2 linked regions of the Styela clava genome follow. The protein of the gene in region 1 interacts with the protein of each later gene in a pairwise test. Links are inferred from orthologs where the notes say so. Each region holds a gene or a part of one and is shown on either strand. Other genes may lie near its edges.

Region 1 (6,893 bases):
TTGAAAAAAATTCCTAAACCACTAAGGGGGTAGTGATTCCTTCCATTAACTAGAAATAGGAGGTAATAATATTAGTTTTACAGTTTTAACAATGAAACAAATTTATTTATGTTCAACTCAATCATCATATCCAAACTTTCGTATTTATCTAAATGAAATTTAAAATATCATGGTTCGCCAAAGTTGACGCTTCAGAAGTATGTGTACCAATATGAAGGTAACTAATTTTGTTTGTCTACTTTACATAAAGTTGGGTAAAGGAATGGAAGCCGATGGGCAGGGGGTATATTCACTTGGCTAACACAGACAGTCCCGGAACTTGTAATAGAACTTAAAAAAGAAAAATCTGAATAAAATTATGGCCCAACCCTAACCTGGTACACACACTACGGGAGTACTAACGTTTTACGTTAGAGTCATTGTAATTGAGTCACAATAAATATCTGCATATATACACCCTAGATTACAAGTTTCTAGAAGAAAAATCTGAATAAAATTATGGCCCAACCCTAACCTGGTACACACACTACGGGAGTACTAACGTTTTACGTTAGAGTCATTGTAATTGAGTCACAATAAATATCTGCATATATACACCCTAGAATACAAGTTTCTAGAATTACAGTGAGATCCAATTTATATCCAAAATGTCTATTTAAAATTAACGACTTACCAGTGCCAACGTACTGTGGACCAGGTGGGAAAAATATTCTGTTGCCCGGTAGTGTTTGCACCCCGGATGGTTCTTGTGAAAATGAGTTAGTTTGTGATCCTGTAAAACATTTACATTCCAATTAAAATAGTTTTACACTGCTCTAGAATCAAATATCAATAAATCATTAATTCTATTGAATTGCCGAATAAAATATCATAAACTTATGCTAATAATTGACTGAAAATACAACATGAAAATAGAAAATAGCATCCATGCATGAAACTGGATTACATTGAAACAAAAATATTAACATATAGCAGCAGACAGTATACTTATTGTGTAGATTTTCTCTGAAATGAATACAGGAAAGTTGAAAAATTGGCTTTAGTTATCTTCGCTCCAAACTCGAAATCTGAATATATGAAATATTGTTTACCTTGTAATAATTGTTGTTCCAAAACATCAGTGAGATTATGGTGCCTTGTTTGAAGATCCCCGAGTTTGTCCGTTAACTCACGATATTCCTGGAATAAGAAAAGAAATTCACGGTAGTTACACTCAGTAATATACCTCACTGGTAAATGAGCATAAAAATAAAACTATGGAAAATTTTGCGCTTTTCACAAGAATTCATTGATATCAATGATTTTTGGTTATGTAGGAAGTAATATACTTGCATCCAATCCTGAGCAAGATATTGATAACTAAAATGCACTATTTTCACATGATATATTTAGTATAACAGGTCAAATTAAAGCATGGCGTTTATATAGTGAAAAAAGTTGCAAAAACAATAATATTGACACAAAGGCTTCGTTGATCAGAGATAGCAAATATAAATTTAGAACAGGGAATAATAAAAGACATTCAAATTCTGCTCCCTCTGGAAGGAGGGAGAAGATTAAGTTTATGTAAAACAAAGATTGATTTTTGTAAAGATGTATCTGGCAGAAGTTATTTTATCTACACCCCAGGCATGATATTAATCAAACCACTTCATCTACAGCAAATTACATTGCATATCAATAATTAATGCATGGTTGAAATCCAGCAAATCAAGATAGAGATAATAAGTAGCCTTAAATAGATTCTCATCTTTGCAGGCATCATTTGCAAATGTTAGTCAGTGCGAACACTGATGAAAAACACCATAATATGAATTTAATTCAACTTGGCTTTTTAAAAAAAAGTTATTGCTTAATTAAGGGATTGATCTACTTCATTTATGCCTGATTGGATTGGATTGGATATTTGGATTGGATACCAGGTTATGGTTTCTATTCAAAATTAGTTTCAGAAACCACAATGAAGCCAGCATAGCTGTTCCAATAAATCTATTGCAAAACCAATTTCATTGTACTTGCTGAGGCTTTTGAACTTCAAGCCGTTACAAAGAATAAAAAGGAGAATAGTCTTCGTTCAAAAAACCAGATATTTTGATAAATCCTGAAATATGAGAACAGCTTGCCTAACCACCATAAAGATACACAACCAATGATCAATGAGAATACTTACTTCAAGATAAATAGGCGGAGGGTTCGTATTTCCACCAAATTTATCATTCAGTCGGATAATGGAATCTTTGGTCAATCTGATTACTTCATTCAAATTTTGAAGCTGAAATATCATTATATGAATCATTAGTCATTACACTCAAAATATTGTTAGAGGACGGCTAGCGAACTTCTTGGCATCTGAGGAACCAGTATTGTCAGTGGACTTGTCAGTGAAAATTGGGTAGAATTCGGATTCAAAAATTCATAGTTTCCTGAAAAATTGTTCTGATTGATATTATATAAAAAAACTCAGTTAAAAAACAGTTATTTTGTAAAATAAAAAGTGATATTGGTATGACATTGTCTGCATTTTGGTCACTTGCATTTTTATGAAATTTTAAAAATGCACTTTTTAAGTCTGTGGAGGATAATGTAAAAATACAAGAGGAAAATAATTAGGCACAAATCATTCTTGAACAACAGCAAATATGACAAAGATAAGTTGAAACATAAACAAGGCTTTTAATTTTATTGTTAGCCAGATATGAAATATGTAACAAACCTTCATGAATACAAAATAAACTGCCACATTTTGGGATTCAGAATACAACACAGAATTTCGATTACATATTTCAGATCTATATTAAACAATGCACTCACATCTTCCTGTATCTTCCTGATGTCACTTGATCTCCTCCCCTCTGATGAAAAGAGAGGTTGAGTCATGGTTGACATTCTTTTAGAAGATCCAACCATACAGCATTTACTAGTGTGCTGTTCAGTGATATGTCATCAAATATTCAAACATAACTTTTCATTATTAATCAGTTGATTGGTTAATTTAGTAATATTTCATCTGTCATAGCAAGGTTTATATTAGTGTTTTATAGTCATCTATGAGCTCCTGGTACACATGCTCGTATAGTTTTATGCTAGTGTAATGTTTTTATTCAAAAGGATTGCTTCAAAAAAACAAAATTGTTACAAATTATATGATAAGATAAATTGGGGTAGAAAAAGGGAAATCGTTGAAATGACAATGCGAGTCATTCAATGAGTTGGGCAATGGCACTGAGCAGTGAATCACCACTGAATCTGTGATTTTTTTAACACTGGTGATACTAACATCGATAAACTAAAATGACAATATTATATTTTCTGCTAACAAGCATAAAACAAAGGGCATATGGCTTAATATTGTTTGTTCTTTGATTTACCAAGTTTGTGAGCAACTTCTTGAACTAGCAGTGCTCCCCTCACAATTTTCACACAATGTATAGACTGACATTTCCCTTACCCAGTGCAAATAAATCAATTTGCCACATCCAAGAGTTAACATTACACACGCGCTCAAAGTCAACAACTGGAATAGTGTACTTGCAGTTGCACAACAGTCTAGCGTTTACAGTCTGGCATTTCAGAGCCCATAAAAAATCTATCTGCTGCGACAATTTGACACACCTTGGGGGGACACAGTTAATGATATATTACAGACTAATTAGATTCAATACAACTTTAAACAGTTGTTACCAAGCACTTCAAAATCGCATGTTCTTTGTAAATTATAGTGATAAGAAAATGAAAGAATATGAAATAATATTTGAATAGCGATAAAAATGGAGTTAGAAAGCCCCGCTTCTTTAAGCTGAAAGATGTCATTCAGAAGCAGGTGCAAAGATATATTATGCTTGTACTCTAACAATATGCTGTGTTTCAGCTCATTACCCTCTTATAAGATCGAACAGAGGACAATCGGTTCGTTGTACAGCAGTACAGTCTGGCACACTATCCAAATTCCAAGAGTTTCCCTCCATTTAGTTCAATAAAACAAACACTCCAAGTGTCTCACAAATGAGGGGCGTCTGGCACGACGGCAGATGAGTCATATTGCGCCATGCTTGTCTCAATAATAATCTAATTAACCGTGGCCATCATGTGATCAAAATTGGTGTTTTTTCTTAAAAACTCTCAAATGCCACGGTAAAAAATTTTTTCCTTAGGTAAATCGGGTTATTTTTTCAAAGAAAAGTCCCACAGTCAGTAATACTGTAATATGAATTATCTTTTATTCTGTGCTTGCTGTCGGCTTTTATGCTGAAGCTTCCTTCCATCAATTATAACAGTGAGTGAAAACCACTCCTTTACAAGACCATCTAGGCCACCATATTGACATAAATCGACAAACCAGCCTTTTGCAATAAACTAACAGGAAGCGCAATTTAAAATTATTAGATTCTTCATAAAAAAAGGATCCAATTCAATGGAGGAGAATTTTTTTAACGTAGCATTTGAAAGTTTTCAGGTCCTGTGACTACTGCGACTAATTTAGATTATTATTGAGACAAGCATGGCACAATCTGACGCATCCGCCGTCGGGCCAGACGCCCTCGTTTAAGAGACAAATAGTGTGTTTGTTTCATTAAACCAAATGTCGGGACATCTTAGAATTGGAGAACTGTGCCCTTTCTGATGATCACAAACTATTCTGAATCCATAATTTATTATCTGGGAAATAAATAGATAAAACTACACAGAAACACCATCTAAGCTACGGTATACAATTTCAGAATTTAGACTACTACCAATCTGTAAAATAAACATTGAGACAAAAGATACGGTACCGGTAACCAATCGTATCTCAAAGTTCTGAAGGAATAAAGTGAAAATAAAACTGAACTAAAATACGTACTGCAGTACTGCAATTTCATAAAAATGATATCACAACACCAGAATGGTACCAGCGTACAGGAATAACAGGATAACGCCGTACCGTACAGCCAAACAAGTACCGGTACAGGGTACGGTACCGGTAACTTTGAATTTAACTTACGTGTCTGTGTCAGCTCCGGTAGCGGTACCGTACCGGTACTCTGGCGTTGTTCCAAAAGTCCATTGGTTCAACTGAAATGATAGAATTCCATAGAGCCTGTAAAGCTGTACAAAGCATCAACTCAAAAGTATTCGGGTAGCTCAGTCGGGAAAGCGAGGACAATAAACCAGTAAACCAACAGATAAACCTGCCGAAAGTAAGGGAGAGTCATTGGATCAGACAGAGGAGAACCGGTTCGTTGAACCGGATTTGAGATACCCAAATAATAAGTATGTATGTTTATTTGCCTCAAAATGTAACAGTATCTGCATATCAATTAAACAGCGTAAAAAATACGGGATACATGTTAAAACCCTTACTGGCCCAAGACACAGATGTGCGACATACATCTCTACCAAGGATTAGGATTTACATATTTATCCCGGGGAAGGGAAAGTCGATAATATGGCTTAACCCGTAGTAGTATATATTTACGCTTAACCACATGGCGAACCACGGCCTCTCGTCCGGTTACCATTTCATGTCGGGTATAGAATTAGTTAGTTAATTGTTTCTGGAAGCATAGAATTGATGGTCGGGGAAGCCGTACGCGGTTACGTGAACCACCCTACGGCAGCGAGGAGTCCAGCAATCCTCTCGCACATAACTATCCCTGAATGGGCTTCGAACCTGCGAACCCACGCAGAGTAGGGGAGATGCGGGAGAGATGAGCCATTTTTTATACAATTAGTTATATATCCTCAATGAGAACGTGAACGACGTGTGAAGTTCCAATAATGCTGGGGATGGCTAATTTTCTTGCGATGTCTTTCTTCGACCAAAGTGCTTCATCTTCGACATCCAGAATAAAGGTAGTTCCGTCATTTACGCTTAAAACCAGGCGGAGAAACACTCCTTCAAAAGCATCAACTCTTGCGACGTATTGAACAATTCGAGATTTTCCACTTATCTTGACTATGACAAAATCGCCTTCAATAATATTTTGATTTTCTTCTCCTGTGTCATCAGTATCATCGCACAATACATTCCCGTCAGATTCACTTTAGCTCGAAGTGGTGCATCCGGATGGTGCTACCCTCACTCTAACTGTTTCCTTGTTTGCAAAGAGCATTTTTTAACCCGACCGTAGTTCTTTGCTCTATTTTATTCTAATCTAGCCACTGATTTGCTGCTATTTCATTTCTAACTGGTGTGTCTGTCAAAATTTCCGAGCTTCCTTTTTTTCCTATTGGAAGCTTTCACCTTCCTTAGTCCTGCATTGGGTAAAGGTAGTATTTTTATCACCTGGAAACACATAAAAAGTCTCTGCGTTGCTAGTCTGCTCTGCTCCAGTCAAGCCAATATTGGTCTCAACGCCAGCTTGATTGAATTGTGTTATCTTTTTGGTACGTGGGAGTATCAGGATTACTCTGTAAACCTGACGCATTTTCAACATTGTCTACTGCCGAGCAAACTCGCGTTCTGTAACTGAAGATGAGGCATATTCTTCATCCAAGAATACGTCGCTGTTGAAAGGCATAATTCCAGTGCTGTGAAAGCCAGCTAGGATATTACGCAGTACAAAAGCGCAGATGGGAGCTTCGTTCACCAAATGAGCAATATCGTGTATAGACACAGTCTTACCCGGATTGGACCTCATCCAATTATTCATCGCGCGCGCGTAGTCGCTTTTGTATGGTTCATAAACAGTCTTGTCTAAAGGCTGGAGTTTGTGGGACGTGTATGTAGGAATGGTCAACACCACAACTCTGCTCGTCTTCGCCTTGTCAACAGCTTTTAGTGAAACGTGGGACTCGTGATTGTCTAAGATGAGCAATACCTTTCGGTCGGGTACACAGCGTGTATGCTTAATGAAGTGATAGAGATAGTTGACAAACGTTTCCTCGTTAATCCAACCTGATCTGGTGGCGGC
Region 2 (7,497 bases), on another chromosome or scaffold:
GCCCTGATACTACTAGATGTCGGTGCTAATATACTGATATATTTCGCAACAGTGCTGAATTAAAATATCAAATTTGATGAGTTTTAACATTACATAAACGATTGAATATGCCTACTAGGTGACAACAGTTCACACTCCATTTTGGGTCATAAATAAAATTACATCATATTGAATTGACAAGGAAAAATGCATATGTATGTAATCAAAACTTATTCGTCTTCTAAACTAAGAGGCACAGCAATGCGAAAGCTTGGCTTGTTTGACTGCTGATAAAACAATAAGGAACAAAATTCTTATGAAATCTACTCCGAAAGAATTTGTATAACCTAATAAAATGTGTTTGAATGTAAGAGGATATTTATTAAATTTCACCAGGAAATAGAGAAGTTTTGACTTCCCATAAGGTCATAGCAATCCTATTTTCCATTTGAGACAATCAATCAAGCTTAGACACACAAAAACCAGTCATATATCCATAATGAAAGTTTGACGACTGCACAAAAGATTAAAGAAAGCAATAGAACCTGTATTTTGATTAGAAGGCATTGGAACCACACGATATAATTACTGACAATTTCACTGTTTTGGTTGGAATGACAACGTGTGACTGTTGACTCAAGCACAAACTGCGTTGATGGCAACGTACTGAGATAATACACTTTGCAAATAAAGAGGTATTATAATTACACGTTTTCCATACACCTTGAATTTTTTCAATATTGACACAGATGGAAAGATAATAAAAAGACAAGCTAGGCTGTTAAGTGCAGTTTGAAGTATATAAGACTTAATAAAATATAATAATCATTCAGAATAAAAGCTGTTTAAGGACCATCAACTTATAATTTCACTAGCTTTGAAACCAAGAATTCAAGAGAAAGAAAAAACAAATCATACCGTCCCTGCCGTGTCCAGGATTTCTAACATACATTGCTGGTTATCTGTTTCAACTTGCTGTAATACACAAAAGTAGACAGTGAAAATATATTATAAACAATATTACTTGAAAAGATCATCAGTACTAAATTTCTCGGACAGAAACCACTTCTTCCTTGCACAGCTAAGAATAGTTATGTTTGAAATAGATCTACTGGTAGAAAAATCTTGATACAATACCCCGGAAAAGACAAACTCGACAGAAATAATGATAATTTTCACTATCCAAACAACCATACCATAAGTTCATGGTATCATATCGTAACTAAGAAGGTTCTGTACCATGATGTTCATATAAACAGGCTGTTTATATATACCGATGTACATTAAATATACCCTCGATTACATAGGTAATATATTTAATCAATTTCTTTGCTTCCACAAACCATTTTTTAACATATATACGATAACTGTAACTATATAAAATCAATAAATAATAAGGTATACGCCCATCAACATACATTCTGAAATAAGCCTGAACATGACTACAGCCAAATTAGTTATGTAGTTGTAAAGACTTAAATTTTGTGAACATTGGTTAAAGCACAATTCAACATTTGAGTATTTTAAATTACAGACATATTCTTACTGTGTGCATTAATGTTTTTTCATTAATCAATGGTCATCAATTACTGATAATGCTATTAATATCAAGCCACTAATTAAAAAAAATCAATGGAAAAGCAAACCTTTCTATAGCTATCTTCTATTGTAGGATCATATTTTTCAACAAATATTCCTTGTACGAATTGCACTGTCTGTGAAAAACAACTCAATTATTGAATGCTCGGCATGAGGAAACTTGACAAAATTTATTGAATAGCCACAAAACATTACGCAGATAGATACCATTTGGGAATGATTAACAAACTTTTTCACATTTCAAGAATCGCCCACATTTAAATTTCATTGATATGTTTCAGATCCAAAAAATTGGCCGAGCAAGAATTTCTTTATATATGTCTTGTCTTGAGTCTTGACTAACCAAAATATATATATTCAAATAAATACTGACTTGATTATGAAAAATGAAATAAATTTTGAGAGTTCTATCAATTTAAATACCATAATTTTAATCCATTGTCAAGGACTACAGAAGGAATTCAGGCTAACACTTACCAATGCACTTTTCCCAACACCTCCAGAACCGAGCACAACCAACTTGTACTCTCGCATCCTTCCAGTTGGTGTGATCTACCTAAAAGAATTTGAAAAATTTACTTAATAATAATAATAACAGCTTATGATAACTAGTGGAAGGAAGCATTCTTTTCATTAGTAAAAAAAAACATTTAAAGAAGATTAATATGTCTGCCGTTCATTGAACAAAAGAACAGGATGAACTATCTGATTTTGAATTAGACTGAGGTCTGAGATGACAATTAGTCACGCTTTGGTTCAGCCAAATATTTGAAACATTTAGATACGAATAGAATACTTGAAAATTTACAAGGATAGGCAGACATACACCACACAAATTTATGTAATAACACAATTACGATTTATTTTTATAACAAAGCAATATAGAACAGGGCTACTAGGATGCAGAACTCAGTGGATTAGAATTTATCATTAGCCAACATAAATCGGTACGCCCATAGTATGCGAACGAAGTTAGGGTTAGGCCATAATTTTCTTTCAATTTTCCTTATTTTACATCTATTACAAGTACAGGGACTGTTTTTGTTAGCCAAGTGAATATACTGCCTGCCCATAGGCTTCAGTCCCTTTACACAACTTGATTCATCAAGACTATATTCAAGAAGATTAAATTATTACACTTGCTACACTTGGGTCAACATAGCTATCTCAAACTTGGCTTCATATCCAATTTCAACTTAGATGAATTCGGTTTTTTGACTGAGAATTATGAACAAAATTTCAACAGAACGTAAATTTATAATGAGTTGGACAAAAAAAATGTATCGAAAAAGCTTACCTTACACAGTGCAGCAAGTGGGCAACAGAAAACACAATTTCCACAAGAAGTTTTATATCCACCAAGTACGAATATACCAAGATATTTTATATAATGCTCTACTTGAGTACTTATACAACTTGAAACCTGAATCTTTTATAAGAAATAAATATTTCATTAGAAAATGAATAAGGAAGAAAACACAAGAAATAATTTCTGAGTATCAGAATAAGGTTCACATCCTCACAGGAATACTATCAAATAAAATAACTATTAGTCTACAAATCTCAGATGATAAGACAGTAACTTTTTAAACCAAAATATATTAATTCTGTGATAAGCCAATACACCAGTTTTTAAAAATGAAAACGATATCTCTGAAAATTGTACCAGTATTCAGTAAGAGAATTCTATAATTTGTTGTTTGAGTGTGAATGTATGGATGGCAATTGGTAACCACATAAAAGTTTTTTAAAATGAAATTTCTTGTTTCAGCATTACTGTATTTTATTTACCGTAATTGTTTTAAGCCTTTTGCAAATCTAAGAAAAAGGTGAAAAAACCACTGCCTCCCAGGTTAATAAATAAAATGAGGCAATGAAACAAGAATAACAGTGGGCCAAATATTTGTATTTCTGTATCCCAAATTATGTACTTTGACCTTTTGGGGATGAAGGGCCACATAATATTCCATTTCATACTGACCATAGCATACCAGTATAACTTATAATTACAGGAACACAATAACAACACATGTCTGAAAATCACTGTAGCATGTTGTCTCAACAATACTGTGAAGTGCCTAGAATGACGCCGGGTCATGGTTTTGTCGTGACAAGAACCCTTGAATTGCAAACAGGCAAGAATTGCCACATTACACTCTCTCTACAGGAAAAAGTGATTCCGAGCATTAGATGATTAACATCCAGTAGTCGCCACATTTTTCAAAAAGGAAACATTAGAATGGAATTTGAATGTTCGTTTTAGTTCAGAATAACTTAACCTAGTATTTCCACTTTCTGGTCTATGAAACATTTTTTTTAAATTATCTCTCCGACTGAAGATAACTTGGAATAACCACAATTATGTAATGCATCATCATAAAATAAAACCCATGTTTTCATTACTGTAATAATGACTCACATCTCAACATTTATGCTATTGGATCATTAAAATACATTTATTTTCTTTACAATTTTACATGCTTTTGTACAGGGTGATCAGACCAAGTGTAGACAAATGTTTATTAAAATATCTACAATATGAATGTGAGAGAGAAAAAAATATTTTGCAGAAAATAGCATAATAATAAAAATAATAGAATTTATTGTTATTTTCCGAAATATCCTTCCTTTGCCTTCACACATCGATCTGATTAGAACTTGACTACACGAGGCACGTATGGCTTCTTCTAAAATTTTGTCCAAACAAGTTATCAATCTATGCCTTAGAGCAGTTGTTCTCAATCTGAGTTACGCACACCACTACTGATACACAGGACCTCTTCGAGTGGTTCAAAAGCAGCTTTGAATTATTGCAACAATCAACTTTTGTATTCGCTAAACGGCGTTTATAGCGCTACTAGTTCTTGTCTTTTATTGCTCTCGCCAGTAACTCTCCACCTAAAACAAAACGGGCATGTTTTTGTCATTTTGCGCGTTACTCCACAATACATCTTATCCTCGGACAAATACACTTTGATCAGTGTAAGCCGCTATCACGAACGCTCCCTTATTTGCTGATTTATTATTGTAGATTTATATTATAGATATTTTATTAAACATTTGTCTACACTTGGTCTGATAACCCTGTATTTGGCATCATGTACCAAAGTTAGTGTATGATTTATACGACATAGACTAGGAGTTGGCAAACTTATGTACTACTGGGCCAAATATGAACATTTCGGGTGACCTACGGGCCACATTAATTTCAGATTATGAACAATCACCTTATTGAACCTTTGAATGATGGCTGTACTGAAGTATATTCGGCCGTTTCTCAGCAATAAAATTAGCTGGTCACTTTGTTGACGATATCAGCAGTACATAAGTGCAATGCTGGTTTGGCACATCAAGCAAAAAGGATTTGACTAATGCTTAATAACGAAATGTTTTGCTGTCTAAGCTCTTTGAAATGGTTGAGAACGCAAGTTAACAACATACCAATAACACAATTGTGCCTTTCAACTTTTTCACGCATTGAAAATGAGGTCGTCAGAAGGCCACAAATTTTTTTTTGCTTTTGGCCCATGGCCTGCAGTTTGCCAATCGCTTCCCTAGACGCTTTGATCAATTCCAATCTGATCAACCCAAATCTTTCTCCAACCTATCTCCATGATCCCAACTCCCAGCTTGTACATCCTATTATTATTGAGAGGCACATATTACTGTATTACAGTATCTATATACAGCTCAAAGTTTTATTGGGTTTATTACTTATTATTATTACTTTATTGGGTTTATTACTTATCGATCTTGATCGGTAAGTATGTTGATAGGTATTTGTTTGTTTGTTTCTCTGTTAGATACAATCACGCTATTTCACGAAAGTGAGGTTGAATCTGTTCCAAATTTTGCATGTGCATTCATCATATTTCGGACCAGAAGCCTATTGATTTTGGATGAATTATGTTGTATAATTAGCGAGGTATTAATTGATTAATTAGTGATGGGACACGCAATGTCACTATGGAGTCAAAGCAAATGAATCGAAACCTCAGTTTCTGTTTTGGGGGATCCACTAACTTTCGATCGATAAGTCTTTGGTCTCTGACTGATATTCTCGTTATTGGGTCTTACTACTTACTGAATACAGCGTGAAACACCGCAAATAGCGCGAAACAGTGCAAAATAGCGCGAAACAGCGCAAAAGAGAGGAAAACAGCGCAAAAGAGAGGGGAACAGCGCGAAACAGAAGGAAACCAGCGCAAAACAGAGGGAAACAGCGCAAAACAGGAGACGCAGTCATTACCACCTCTTGCCACGAAAGAACCACGGCGCCATTTCCGGTATATTTACAAGGTTATGTACCGGATTATACGGTAGGTCATCATGCGAAATTTTATCTACCTTTTTGGTGCTCCAGAAGTATGTGCAGCAATATGTCGCACAACCTGAATCCGATACACACACACACACATACTATTTTCAGGTTGTGCGCCATCTTGGTGCACATACTTCTGGAGGTCCCATTTTACCTAACCCTAACCCTAAAGCCAACCATATCCATATGGAAAATGTTCTAAATTATGGTACCCAAAATGTGTCACCAGCAGGGGCAGACCTGCCATTACAGCATTACTGGCTACATACGTTGGTTTGTGTTTTTAATTTGCTGCCGTGGTACTCCAACTCAAAACAAGGTGTCCCGAACTCATTGCAAAAATTTTTTCTGCTTAACATTGTTTCCCTCTGTTTTGCGCTCTTTCGCGCTGTTTCCACAGTGTTTTGCGCTGTTTCCCTCTGTTTTGCGCTGTATTCAGTAAGTAGTAAGACCGCTCGTTATTATATGTTGTGTGGACTAATTTTTGTAACTTTATATCTCTAGCATTGAATCCAGATCATACCTGGAACAAACAGTTCTGACAATTGGTTAACTAATCCCATACACAATTTGATCTATATTCTGATGGGAATCTGACATATGATTTAGCAGTGGCTAATAGATCTGTAGATGGATAATGCAGAATTCAAAATAACCGTCCGGCTGCTGTCTGGTTGCTGGGTTGTGGTATGTTTAGTGGCAAAAACTAGTGTCAACTTGTCTATAATTAAAAATACCATGATAGTCCATTGTAAAAACAGTACATTTTACAGTTGAATAATTTATCAATATCAATTTTTACATTATTTACAAAAACAGTATTACAGCAACAGCAAACTGCAGAGCGTTGTGATATTTGCTGTGTTTTCACTAACTCCGTAACTGCAGAACTGACCTAGCAGTGCATCAGTCAGTCAGTAAGACCAAGTTGGCACATTAGTGAAAGTCTGAATGCAGGAATGTACATTCCAGCATTCTGACATTACAACGAATGGCTTACAGAACTGCAGAAGTTCCAGACTACAAGTGAAGTATTTCATTGAAATGGAACATAAGAACAGAACAACGACTAACAAAAGCATATTAAGCAAAGAAATGGGTAGATAGATAAGTATTTTGAAAACTCCTTAATACACGCAAATTCAACTGATTTCAGGATTTATACATTTTTTGTAAAACGAATCAATTCTGCGTCTGATACCAGAATGCATTTATGATACCAGATGTTAAAAATAAAGAATCATGTTGCCTCTTTTCTGTTGGAACTTTTAAGCTTCCGAGCTTGCTCTAATTTTACTGTTTTACAGTTTTATGATTGTCTGATTGTGATACTGTGATAACGAAATCATGAATAATAATATAAAATACTTCACTTTCATTGTAATACCAAAATAAGTTATCCATATCGCTGTATCGTGGATCCAAATATCTGTTCCTAAATGTCTGTACACCGCTACTGCCGCTAACCAAATTACTTCCACTAAATAGGCCTACAGAAATCTGGAAATTTAATGAAATTCTGAAATTACTGAATTAATGTTAATTTAAACGTTTTAGGCTATGTAATAATTATACATTATTTTATAGCATCGTGTAGT

What was found. The genes of interacting proteins can lie anywhere in the genome.
Region 2: the proteins of RAF proto-oncogene serine/threonine-protein kinase-like (region 1) and ras-related protein Rap-1b-like interact in a two-hybrid assay, tested with the Drosophila melanogaster proteins (2 studies listed by BioGRID). The link is inferred for Styela clava from reciprocal best matches to the Drosophila melanogaster genes Raf and Rap1.

Annotation. Positions count from the first base shown.
Region 1 is NC_135256.1:7,211,620-7,218,512, forward strand, and holds the start of RAF proto-oncogene serine/threonine-protein kinase-like, read right to left. Parts: upstream 3,008-6,893; 5' UTR 2,908-3,007; coding exon 2,812-2,907; intron 2,273-2,811; coding exon 2,171-2,272; intron 1,180-2,170; coding exon 1,092-1,179; intron 773-1,091; coding exon 674-772; intron 1-673.
Region 2 is NC_135258.1:19,422,277-19,429,773, forward strand, and holds the start of ras-related protein Rap-1b-like, read right to left. Parts: upstream 3,032-7,497; 5' UTR 2,876-3,031; intron 2,135-2,875; 5' UTR 2,113-2,134; coding exon 2,056-2,112; intron 1,695-2,055; coding exon 1,626-1,694; intron 955-1,625; coding exon 898-954; intron 1-897. UniProt on the Drosophila melanogaster protein: Ras proteins bind GDP/GTP and possess intrinsic GTPase activity. Plays a role in photoreceptor cell determination.